Oryctolagus cuniculus: one gene and its partners. The protein of the gene in region 3 purifies or fractionates together with the protein of the main gene of each other region. This does not show direct contact. Links are inferred from orthologs where the notes say so. Each region holds a gene or a part of one and is shown on either strand. Other genes may lie near its edges. The genes, in order: GNAI2, GNAI3 and MTNR1A.

What was found.
Region 1: the proteins of MTNR1A (region 3) and GNAI2 purify together in Homo sapiens (tandem affinity purification; 3 studies listed by BioGRID and IntAct, with this or other methods). This does not show direct contact. The link is inferred for Oryctolagus cuniculus from reciprocal best matches to the Homo sapiens genes MTNR1A and GNAI2.
Region 2: the proteins of MTNR1A (region 3) and GNAI3 purify together in Homo sapiens (tandem affinity purification; 3 studies listed by BioGRID and IntAct, with this or other methods). This does not show direct contact. The link is inferred for Oryctolagus cuniculus from reciprocal best matches to the Homo sapiens genes MTNR1A and GNAI3.

Annotation. Positions count from the first base shown.
Region 1 is NC_091441.1:99,083,101-99,087,253, forward strand, and holds the start of GNAI2 (guanine nucleotide-binding protein G(i) subunit alpha-2), read right to left. Parts: upstream 2,827-4,153; 5' UTR 2,611-2,826; coding exon 2,493-2,610; intron 1-2,492. UniProt on the Homo sapiens protein: Guanine nucleotide-binding proteins (G proteins) are involved as modulators or transducers in various transmembrane signaling systems.
Region 2 is NC_091438.1:60,832,638-60,836,220, forward strand, and holds part of GNAI3 (guanine nucleotide-binding protein G(i) subunit alpha-3), read right to left. Parts: intron 3,138-3,583; coding exon 3,095-3,137; intron 2,979-3,094; coding exon 2,837-2,978; intron 1-2,836. UniProt on the Homo sapiens protein: Heterotrimeric guanine nucleotide-binding proteins (G proteins) function as transducers downstream of G protein-coupled receptors (GPCRs) in numerous signaling cascades.
Region 3 is NC_091433.1:68,583,717-68,588,077, forward strand, and holds the start of MTNR1A (melatonin receptor type 1A), read right to left. Parts: upstream 2,847-4,361; 5' UTR 2,678-2,846; coding exon 2,485-2,677; intron 1-2,484.

The DNA of each region.
Region 1 (4,153 bases), on a different chromosome or scaffold from region 3:
CTGGTCAGTTGAGCTGAACTGGGTAGGGGTGGGGGGCGTCCCTGAAGCAGGAGTGGTAGCGGCTCCTCTGCGTCAAGCTGCCAGGAAAAACCCTCGTGCCAGTGTGTACTACATCTGCCCCTGCCCTGGTGACAGCGACTGTGCCCGCCTCCTGGCAGGGCTACCAGGGACGAGAGGGAGCCAGCGTGCGGGTGGGGCAGCAGGCGTGGTTCTGGCAGACAGAGAAGGCTGGCAGTTACCCAGCCTGAGGCCCGTTGCCTGGACAGAGTCTCCCGCTACGTGAGACAGGCGCCCAGAACTCAGAACCGGCCACAGCCGGGCTCCCACCGCCACCTTCTATCTGGAGGGGAAGGGACGGCTCAAGCCAGGACCCTTCCCCAGCAGCCACAGCAGACAGGGTCCTGCGGTCCAGGCAGAGCTTGGTTTCCCAGCCTCGTGCAGTTCACACTCTGCAGGGTCTCAGTCCCTAGCCCGCACAGCTACCAAACTCCCGCTCTCTCTGTCCTGCCTGAGGCAGCACTTGTTTGGCCCAAACCCAGGAAGCCCATTTTACAGAGGCAGCAAAGGCCAGAGAGGCCTAACACCGGGATGGACGCCTCAGGCCAGAAAGTGCTGAGCCAGACACTGCACTCTGGCTGCTATGGGCCCAGCGGGGGAGGGGCTGCCAGGTCCCACCTGGTCTGGCCCAAAAGCTTCGCTGGGCTCCCAGGGGCATGCCTGGTGGGACTGGGGGACACTTCGGAGTCGGGGCAAAGAACAGGCCAAGCATCCTGTGTCCCCTGACCCTGCGGCCCACTCCCCTGTCCCCTCAGCCACCAGAAGGGCCGTGATCAGCCTAGGGAGGGCTGGCCAGAGGCTCCTGGCTGGGCGCAGGGAGGCAGCGGGTACCGGAAGTGCCCTCCCAGGCCCGGCAGCGACGGGCATTCCGCCGCGTCGACACCCACTCACCGCCGCTGCACTCGCAGCAGACAGGAAGAGGCAAGCGCCCAACGCAAGGCAGCCCAGGAGGCTGGGCCGCCGCCCCTTCCCTCCCCTTCTCTTCCTCCCCGCGGAACGGATGCCATTTTGAAACCTCCGGGGCTGTGCCCCTGAGGCCGGGCCCGCAGGGACAGTCAACAGATGGGCCCATAATAGAGCTACATGCTTTTCCTGGGCCACAGGCCCAGCGTGAAAAGCCCCGCTTTTCACAGCCTGGAGGCTCCCGGGCCGCTCCGAGGCAGAGGGACCACACCCCCACACACGTACTATCCAGCCTGTACCGCTGTTCGGAGGGCCTGCCCCCACCCGAAACCCCCCCAAACCAGGCTTCCACTGGGCACCACCCCTGCTCCCAGCAGGAGGCTGGCCAGGGACCACCAGCAGACCCAAAATCTTTGCAAAAGGCCAGCTCAGATGCCTGGGGGCACCCTGACCCATCACAGCTGGCCCCCCAACCCCTCGCTCAGCTCCACCACCCCCCTCACACAGCCCCAAGATCCGACAGGCCCACCCCCTCGCGGAGCCCACAGCCCAGGCCCCATCAGCGGATCTCCCTGGCGCCTGCAGGGGCAGCAACATGTCGGCTGTCTCACCACTTCCACTTCCCCCACCACCCCAGCAGCCACCATCTTCCCTGGCCTTGGAAGCAGCCACAACCCCGGCCTCCTCCACATGCCCTCCCACTTCACATACTTCCCTCTCGGCAGCCCAGCCAGGCCTTGGAGACGGGAAAACAAATTCCCAAGGAGCGGAGTCTCCCTGGAAAGTTGAGCCTGGCCCCCTCCCCCAGCGGGACCAGTGGAGCCTCAGCCCAGCCCCTTTGGAGGATTTGCCTAAACGTCCCCTCCCCCCGGGGCGGGGGGTCTTCTCAGAGCCAGGCCCACCTGGTGCAGGAGGAGTGGAGGATCAGGGGGCAGCACTTAGGGGAGGAAGGGCACAGGTGTGGCGAGGGAGGCCTGCAGAGATGGGTCTCTAGAGGTTCTGGCTGGAGAGACAGGGCTCCGGAGCAGCCAGCTCCCACCCTGACGGTCGGGGTGCACAGGTGCAGGGCACAGGTTCAGAGGGTGGGTGGGACACAGAATGGGGCAGGGAGCTGGTGGGGCCCTGGGGATGCTCCTGCCCAACAGGAATCCGGGGAACAGGTAGGGGAAACAGGTGAAGCCCAAGGGTGGAGGCAGAGTGGGGTGCCGGGGTCTGGGTAGCAGCTAACGGAGGATGGAAAGGCTATGTGAGGCTGGTCAGTCGGAAGAGACAATCAAGCAGGGGTCTGGGCAGCGATGTTGGGGCACTGCTGGCTTGGTTAGGGGTTGCTGAGTCTGGGGTGAGCTACCCAGGTCTCTGGGTAGGACCACAGGTCTAGATCAACCCAGAATCGCCCACCCTTATTTGCAGGTCTCGGCCAGGCTGCTAAGGGTTCAAGCCCAGATGGGATCCAGACTGGTGAGCCTGAAGCCTCTGTCTTGTCTCTGTCTTGTCTGGGAAGTCAAGGGTCCCAGCGCGGGGCGCGGCCTCACCCAACAACAGCAACTTCACCTCCCGCGCCGCCTTCTCGCCATCCTCCCGCAAGTTCTTGTCGATCATCTTTGAGCGCTCGGCCGCCGCCTTGTCCTCGGCGCTCACCGTGCAGCCCATCCCGCCGTCCGCCGGCCCGGCCGCCGCCCGGCCCCCACACGGCCCACGGCCCGGCTCGGCCCCGCCCGACCCACTCCGCTCCCGCCGCCGGCCCTCCGCGGGTTAGCTCTCGGGTCGGCAGTTCCGAGCGTCTGCGGGAGGCGCCTTCCCCGTGGCCGCGCACCGACGGCGGGGCGGGCCAGGGGTGGGGCCCCGGTGAGCGGAGCCCGGGACTGGGCCGGGGCGGGCCTGGGGGGCGGCACCGTAAGAGACTCGGGGCTGGCGATTGGCTCGAGGGAGGAGCGAGAGGCAAAGTGAGGCGCAGCCCCGGCTGCGGCCGGCTGGAGGCGGGGCCACGCGGAGGGACCGCGATAGCGGTGGAGCCCAACGGGGAGACCGGGCACTGGGCGGGCTGCAGGCGGGGCCGGGCTCCCATTGGGTACCGGGCGCCCGGAGTCGGCGGCGGGCGGGTAGAGTACCCTGAGGGTGGGGAGCCGGTGCCCCGAGGGCCGAGCACGAGCCCGCCCTCTACAAGTAGGGCGAGAGGGGAGGAGGCGTGTCTTCCTCACTTGTTAGTTAATGTACCCAATAAACTCGTTTAGGGATCTGCAGAACCCGAGAGCCTTTCTGGACTGCGGTTTTGGTGTTTTTTTTTTTTTTTTTTTTTTCTTTTCAATCTTAAGCGGGTTTCCTCCCTTTCTTTCTCTGGGTAGTAACAAAATCAAAAACAAAAATAAGTCGATTGCCACCTCCACACCTTGACCTGAGCTGTCTTTCTGAGACATCAGAGTTCACGCACACTTCCCTGATCTGCTGGGAGACGGTGTCCTGCAGCAGCCACCCAAGACTGCAGCCTGGGCCGAGCAACCGGGCCACGAAGGAAAGAGGGAGGGAGGGAGGGAGGGAGAGAGAGAGAGAAAGAGAGAGAAAAAGAGAGAGAGAGATGAGAGAGACGTTACCACCGGGCTTCTGGAAACAAAAGTGACTGTGGTCTTGTATCTTATGACCTGTTCCTTCCACGGTCAGTACCACCTCCCATGTCCCCTCTGGCTGGGCAAAGCTGGGGCGCCGGCAGCACTGTTTTCAGCTGAATCTTTCAAGTCTTTCCAATCCTGCTTTCTGGGGGAACCCACAGCCCCAACCTCAGGTGAACGTGGGAAGTGTTGCAGCGTCCTGAGTGGTCCTAGTGCTGTGAGCCTGGGAGAGCCCGGCCCAGAGGCAGGGAAGATCTCTGATGCCAGGCAGGGTGCCTGTGTGGCCACCCACACCCACACCCCCGTCCCCTCCTCTCTAGCGGGCTCCCAGTTCTGAGTCTGTCCGCTCTCCCGGGAGTTGTCTGTGTGTCTCCCTCTGAATGTCTCCCTTGTTGTCAAGTCCCTGGCCTGTAAGTCTCCCAGTGTTCCCCCGCCGCTCCCTCCTGCCTGGAGCTCAAGCTGGCCCGGCGCAGGCAACAAACATGATAAAGACACATGATGCCCTCCAGGGGCAAACACAGAAATATGCCCTCTACATCAGCACCTAGACCCAGCCCCCAGCATGCCTCAAATTCACAGAGCACATTATA
Region 2 (3,583 bases), on a different chromosome or scaffold from region 3:
GCACTATGGAGCAGCAAGTTAAAGCCCCAGCATGCAGCACCAGCATCGCATAGGGGAGCTGGTTAGAGTCCTGGCTGCTCTACTTCCAATCCAGCTCCCTGCTAATGCATCTGGGAAAGCAACAGAGGATGGCCCAAGTGCTTGGGCTCCTGCACCCACATGGGAGACTCAGAAGCTCCTGGCTCCTGGCTTCAGATCCACTCAGCTCCAGCCATTTGCAACCATTTGGGGAGTGAAACAGTGGATGGAAAACTTCTCTCTCTTTCTATCTTTACCTCTCTCTGTAACTCTTTCAAATAAATAAAATAAGTCTTAAAAAAAAAAAAAAGATACAACAGAGAAGTAGAGTTAGGGGACTAGAAGGAATGAAAAAGGAGAGGGAGAAAATAAGCCCAGAGGATCAGCTGGTACAAAGAAAAGAATGAAAAGGGAAGGGAGAGAAAGGGGTAAGACAAGAACAAAAGACTATTGTTCGAACTATCAACTTTCTCTGCTAGGAGTTAAATCTCTAATGATGTGGCACCTTTTTACACAAATATAAAAATCACACTCATGCATTTTCTCTTGCCTTCTTTTTTGCTACTCTTCTCTCCCATCATTTTACAAACTCTAATCTTGCTCCTCCTTCTCTTAAGCTACTTTTCAGATACTTTCTACCCTAATCCTATTTGGTATTATAGGATATATCACCCTGTCAATACTTTCACCTTCAACAGTTTCCTACTTATTTTTTTTTAAGATTTATTTATTTATTCAAAAGTCAGAGTTACACAGAGAGAGGAGAGGCAGAGAGAGAGAGAGAGAGAGAGAGAGAGAGAGAGAAGTCTTCCATCCGGTAGTTCATTCCCCAGATGGCCAAAACGGCCGGAGCTACGCCAATCTGGAGCCAGGAGCCAGGAGCTTCTTCTGGGTCTCCCATGCGGGTGCAGGGGCCCAAGGAATGCTATCCCTGGCCACAGCAGTGAGCTAGATCGGAAGAGGAGCAGCCGGGACTAGAACCTGCGCCCATATGGGATGCTGGCACTTCAGGCCAAGGCATTAACCCATTGCACCACAGCTCCAGCCCTAGTTTCCTGCTTATTAAATGTAAATTTGCATTTGATAAGTTGAAAGTTATTTGCAAGAGCTCCTAAACCACAGACAAGGAGGCTTTGCCTTTTGCCTTTTCAGGAAGACTCTCAATTCACTGACTTTATCTGATACGGACAAGGCATTAAAGATTTAAAATAGGATATGGTATAATTCAATTTAATAGTCTATGGTTCAATGTAGTTTAGGGTATAGTTTTTTTTTTTTTTTTTTTTTTTTTTACAGGCAGAGTGGACAGTGAGAGAGAGAGAGAGAGAGAAAGGTCTTCCTTTGCTGTTGGTTCACCCTCCAATGGCCACCGCGGCCAGCGCACTGCGCTGATCCAAAGGCATGAGCCAGGTGCTTCTCCTGGTCTCCCATGGGGTGCAGGGCCCAAGCACTTGGGCCATCCTCCACTGCACTCCTGGGCCACAGCAGAGAGCTGGCCTGGAAGAGGGGCAACCAGGACAGAATCCGGCGCCCCTACCGGGACTAGAACCCGGTGTGCCGGCACCGCTAGGCGGAGGATTAGCCTGTTGAGCCGCGGTGCCGGCCGGGTATAGTATTCTTGAATACTTGAAAATCATCTCTAAAGTTGTACTTAATGCTCACAGTTTTTTGTTGTTGTTTGTTTTTTCCCTATTTGAGAGGTAGAGTTACAGAGAAGAGAGAGAGAGAGAGAGAGAGAAAGGAATGCTCACATTCTTACAGAGTTTATTTTAGGAGACAGATTTTTGCCTTTAATATCTATACCTCAGAGAGAACTATGAAGCATGATAAACTTTACTTTTTATTATTTTAATTACCTCTTATTTATTTATTTATATTATTTGACAGGTAGAGCTATAGACAGTGAGAGAGACAGAGACAGAGAGAAAGGTCTTCCTTCTGTTGGTTCACCCCCCAAATGGCCGCTATGGCCGGAGCTATGCCGATCAGAAGCCAGGAGCCAGGTGCCCCCTCCTGGTCTCCCACGGGGGTGCAGGCACCCAAGAACTTGGGCAATCCTCCACTGCCCTCCCGGGCCACAGCAGAGAGCTGGGCTAGAAGAGGAGCAGCCGGGACTAGAACCCGGCGCCCATATGGGATGCTGGTGCCACAGGCGGAGTAGCCAAGTAAGCCACGGCACCGGCCCCTACCTCTTATTATTAACTACTGTAAAAGTCAACAGTTCTGTAAAAGAGGCAGTTGAAGTTACCAAAGAAACCTACAATATATGCACTGAATCCCATTTACTAATTTTTTCTTATGATGATACCTAATATTTTCTATAGCAGATCGATAACACTTCTCAAATGAACATAAACTACTTTCCTAGGGGCCGGTGTTGTGGCGTAGCAGGTAAAGCCACTGCCTGTGATGACAGCATCCCTTATGGGAGCTGGTTCTAGTCCCAGCTGCTCCACTTCTGACCCAGCTCCCTGCTAATGCGCCTGGGAAAGCAATGGGGGATTGCCCAAGTGCTTGGGTCCCTGCACCCATGTATGAGATCTAGAAGGAGCTCCTGGCTCCTGACTTCAGCCTGGTCCAGCCCCAGGCTCTGTGGCCATTTGGGAGTGAACCAGTAGATGGAAGATATTTCTCTCTCTCTCTAGTCCTTTCTCTGTGTAAATCTGACTTTCAAATAAATAAATTTTTTAAAAAGAATACTTTTCTACATCTTATATTGTTGTTTAACTTCATTTCCCTAAAACATGAAGTAAATTTTGCTTAACTTAACTGCATCTATTGAATAAGAGCAAGCAAAAAGGAAATGAGAAATACTCACTGCTCTGGCTGCTTCCCCAAAGTCAATCTTAAGCCGTCCCATGGCTCTTATGATTGCAATGATGGACTGTATAGTATTGCTGTAGACAACTACTTTATATTGTTTACATTCTTCCTCTGAATAGCCATCCTCATGAATGATTCTTTGAAAGGAAGAAAACTACAAGTCAATACCACGAATCTAAAATAAAAAGATACTATGGACTTTTTATTCACTGGGAGGAAATCTACTCTTAAAAAAGCTCATGTTCCAACTTACTTCATCTGTTTCACGATAGTGCTTTTACCAGATTCCCCAGCACCTGAAAGAAAAGAATAACAAACCTTAAACCAAGAACAAATATATGAAGCCAACACAAATGATAGCTCTAGCTTAATGGAAACCACAAGCCCTCATAAGGAAACTGTTGGTAAGGATTTTATGTCTATCAGGGAAACCACCATGGCACTTCTCAGAGAATTTTACTTTCTTTATATAACTGAGCAACCAAGTATACTTTATTGAAAGGGTCCCAGGGTCTGCTTGATACCATTTATGTAAAACAGATGCACCAAGGATCGACAGCAACATAAGCGTAAAATCTCCAGGAAGTCTGTAACTGTGGAACTGAGAAATGTTCCAAGAGCAATCTTCCTGGTCTTGGGAGTGAAAAGGTTGAACACCAAAGCAAGGAGGGCACTGTCCCCACCACTTTCCAGTTGAGGGTATACACCTTCAACACTGCACTCTGCACTGCCCTTCTTATCC
Region 3 (4,361 bases):
TAGAGTTAGAAACATACCAGGGGATTCTAATTCAATCCCATCGAGGTGGCATGTACCAATGCCATCTCACTAGTCCCAGTGATCAATTTCTGTTCACAATTGATCATAATGATAGGACTAAGAACCAAAGGGATCACAGAAATAAGAATAGTGTCTGCAAATACTAGCTGATGGAATCAAAAAGGGAGAGAACGATCCAACATGGGAAGTGAGATACACAGCAGACCCATAGAATGGCAGATGTCTTAAACAGCACTCTGGCCTCAGAATCAGCCCTTAAGGCATGCGGATCCGGCTGAAATGCTCATGAGACTATTTCAGGCATGGAAAGCCAAGACACTCTGGGGGAAAAAAAAAAAACCTAAATGAAAGATCTCCACGAGTGAGATCCCAGTGGAAAGAACGGGTCATCAAAGAAGGAGGTACCTTTCTCTGAAGGGAGGAGAGAACTTCCACTTTGACCATGGCCTTGTCTAAATATGATCAGAGTCGGTGAACTCAGGGGGCTTCCATAGCCTTGGCAGCTCATGACAAGAGCCTAGGGTGATTACTGACGCCATAAACAAGAGTGTCAATTTGTTAAGTCAACAACAGGAGTCACTGTGCACTTACTCCTCATGTAGGATCTTTGTCCTTAGTGTGCTGTACATTGAGATTTAATGCTATAACTAGTACTCAAACAGTATGTTTCACTTTATGTTTCTGTGTGGGAGCAAACTGTTGAAATCTTTACTTAATGTATGCTACACTGATCATCTGTATATAGAGAGAATCGAAAATGAATCATGATGTGAAAGGAAGGGGAGAGGGAGTAGGAAAGGGGAGGGTTGCAGGTGGGAGGGATGTTATGGGGGGGGGAGCCATTGTAATCCATAAGCTGTACTTTGGAAATTTATATTCTTTAAATAAAAGTTAAAAAAATTTAATTAAACCAAAAAAAAAAAAAAGCTGAGTTGGCTTAGTGTTTTTAATCTTGGATTTTCTATTCTCTTTTTTTAATCTCTTCATACACAAAATTAAAATAAACCCAATGGAAATGGGAGGAACTAAACAATCATAAGAACTTTTAATAAGCATCCCCAAGCTCATATTTGAATTAAGTATCTCTATTCCTATTTTGAATTGCCATCTCTTCTAGAAAGCCTCAGATGGTTCATACTGCAACAGTGATCCATTTGAGTAAAAAGCGTCTTTATTAAAACAAAAAAGTCCTAATGCCTCACAGATGAAAGGTCATGGAGGATCTCCCGGTCAGCTTCAAGAATGCAGTATTTTATAGATCCTCTTCTCCAAATGCTGCTTAAAAATCAGCTGAATACAAACTAGTGTGAAAGGAGTACCTTTCAAAAAACACAAGAAGAGTTGTTCCAGGTATTTGAACACTTTTTTACTGAAAGTTACTGCAGGACTCAAACTTCCCAAGTGACCAAGAAGCAGGGTGAGCTCTGAGAGTCAAACGTGCTAGCATCAAAACTCCTAGTCTATGTAACCAGGCTACGCCCTCAGTTCTTCCTAGTGGGTAACCTGCTTTCCACTACAGAGAATGACCAACACAGGATTCGGTCCCTTAACTCATGACCAAAAGGGGGGTGGGGGGGGGAGGACTGTGCTACTCAAAAAGGAGGTAAACAAAATGAGAGTATTTACCAACTACCTGGTTAGAACAAAAAGGTCGCTCTGGGAAGATATATAAAATGCATGGATCCTTCCCCAACTCTACCCAAAAGTTTGCCTGGATGAGAAACCAGGTATCTACTCCATCATCATGTTGTGGTGTGCACATCCTGTGTCATGGGGAAACTGTCCACAGGTTCCTACCCAGGATAAATCAGTTCCAATTCGTCACTCGGAGGGAAGAGCAAGTGTAACTCAAGCACAAAATTAGCTTTAGTCCCACGTTATATTCATATGTAAATGTACCCTTTCCTACCACCGCAGATGGAAGCACTTACCGTATCCCAACTGTCTCTCTCCTTTTCTCTCTCCCCCAGTCTGTGTGTGTGTGTCACAAATAAATAATTAAAAAAAAATACGTATCTTTTTTGAAAACCTAAACTTGTGTACTTGGAGGAGCAAAGCCACTTTGCAAGGGACCTACAGTTCCTTCTGATTATACGCCAACAACGGACAACTGCTGGCAACGAAATGAGGCCACTGCTCCTGCACTGGCAAACTTAAAACATCTTCACGTTATCTCAATAAAGTTGAGTGAACTCCGTTACCCTGGAGCAGCCGTCGGTTGGTGGATCTGACTCGAAAGGGCTTCTTGGGAAACTTTCTGCAGCTGTTCCCAGTGTCGCTCAATCTAAGAACCTCAGAACTTCAGAACGGGGGAGCCAGGGGACGGGAACCAGGGACGCGCTGGCCCCTGAGGCTGAGAGAAGGGTCGCTGCTGGCCAGGGTCTCTGCTCGCGACGGCCTGGGTCTGTCAGGAAACGGGACGGAACCGAGGGGCTGAGGCGGGCCGAAGCCGGGGCGCCCTACCTGCGTTCCTGAGCTTCTTGTTGCGATACACAGACAGGATGACCAGCAGGTTGCCCAGGATGTCCACCACGATGGTGAAGATGAGGATGAAGGCGAGCGTGGAGGCCAGCCAGGAGGCGCGCGGCGGCGCCCCGTCCCCGCCGCCCGGCGCCTGCTGCGAGGCGTTGAGCAGCGCGCTGCTGTTACCCTTCATGGTTCCCCCCTGCCGGGGCCGCCTCACGGCCGCCGCCGGACCATCGCCCCGCCACTTTTTATGGCTCCCCTCAGCCCTCGCCGCGCCACCTCCGCCCCGCGGCCACAGCCTGGTGGCACCTGGGGTCGGCGCGAGGCTACTTGGACTCGCGGGCCCCCGCAGCACGTGCCAACAGCGCCCCCGTGCGGAAGCCCGCGCCAGCCGCAGGCGCCCGCAGGGCCAGGGAGGCCGCAGAGGCCGAGGGATCCGCCGCTCCTTGCCTTCTTCTCTGGGGTGGAACGTTGAACCCAACAACGCAAGACTGCAGGCTGGGATCCCGACTCGGGCCCAAGTGAGCTTCTTAGCCACCATGTGCCCCAGTTTCCGAATCTGAAAAATGGGAATAAAGTCGTATCTAACTCATCAACCTCACAGGGAAACGTGGGGAAAAAAGTCAAGGCATCTTTTCTCTTGGTGGGGGTGAGGGGGTACCCTGTTTCACGTTGTGCTGAATGTCTCGGGGAATGAAATGAGATGCAAAGCTATATACAGATGATAGGTGTGCACGTATTTTCTTAAATACCGATAAAAATGAGACGGCAGATATAATTAGATAGAAGATCCAATATACAAGAGCAATCCATGTAAAATTGCCAGGTAATGACTTAACCAGTTTGTGTGCAGAGCAGAGTTTTAAAAAATACTCAAAACTTTCTGAGCACCAATAAATAAAAATAAATGGAGAGAAATATGTTCCTGTATTAAAAGCTTCACATTTTCTCTTCCCCATACTTTATGCCAACTGATAAAAATAGCAAATTATTGTAAATTTCCCCAACAGAATAAGAAGAAAGTGTAGGAAAAAGGAGTTTGAATAAGATGAATAGGAGAGTTATGACTTACCAGTACTAAAATATACTTTAAAAATTACAATAAATGATACTGTTAAGTTCATCAACAGCCAAATATAGTTTAGATAGAGTTAGAGAGAGACAGGTTTGAAAGTAAGCTTTTAAAGAAAATGTAGTAGGATATGTATATAACCTTGGTGTGGAGAAGAATTTGAAGCATGGAAGAGAAAACAGGACAGAAACTAACTATATGAAGACTGGTAGCAGCTATGAATGACAGAACCATGTCATTTCCCAGTTCTGAGGTCACACAGGTAGCAATGGGTTAGGGTAGGATTTGAACTTTGCTCTCTCTGGCTCCAAAGCCATGGAACTCATTACTGAGAGGCAGTGTTTCTCACCAGTGATAGCTTTGACTACAGAAAATTTAAGGCTTTAATATTAAAAAAAAAAAAAAGAAGAAGAAGAAGAAAAAAGTCAAAGGAAAACTGAGAAAGTAATTTGGGACATATCTAAAGAAAAAGCATTAATGATCTTAATTATATGAATACCATTTTTTTTTTCAAATAAACAAGGAAAAATAATAGAAATATATTTAAGGGTATAACTAAACAATTAAAGCCTGGCTGGCGCCACAGCTCAATAGGTTAATCCTCTGCCTGCGGCACCAGCACCCTGGATTCTAGTCCTGGTCAGGGCGCCAGATTCTCTCTCAGTTGCTCCTCTTTCAGTCCAGCTCTCTGCTGTGGCCCGGGAGTCTGCATGGGAGACCAGGAGGAAGCACTTGGCTCCTGGCTTTGGATCAGCGCAGCACACTGGCTGCAACACGCCGGTGGTAGCAGCCACTTGGGGAA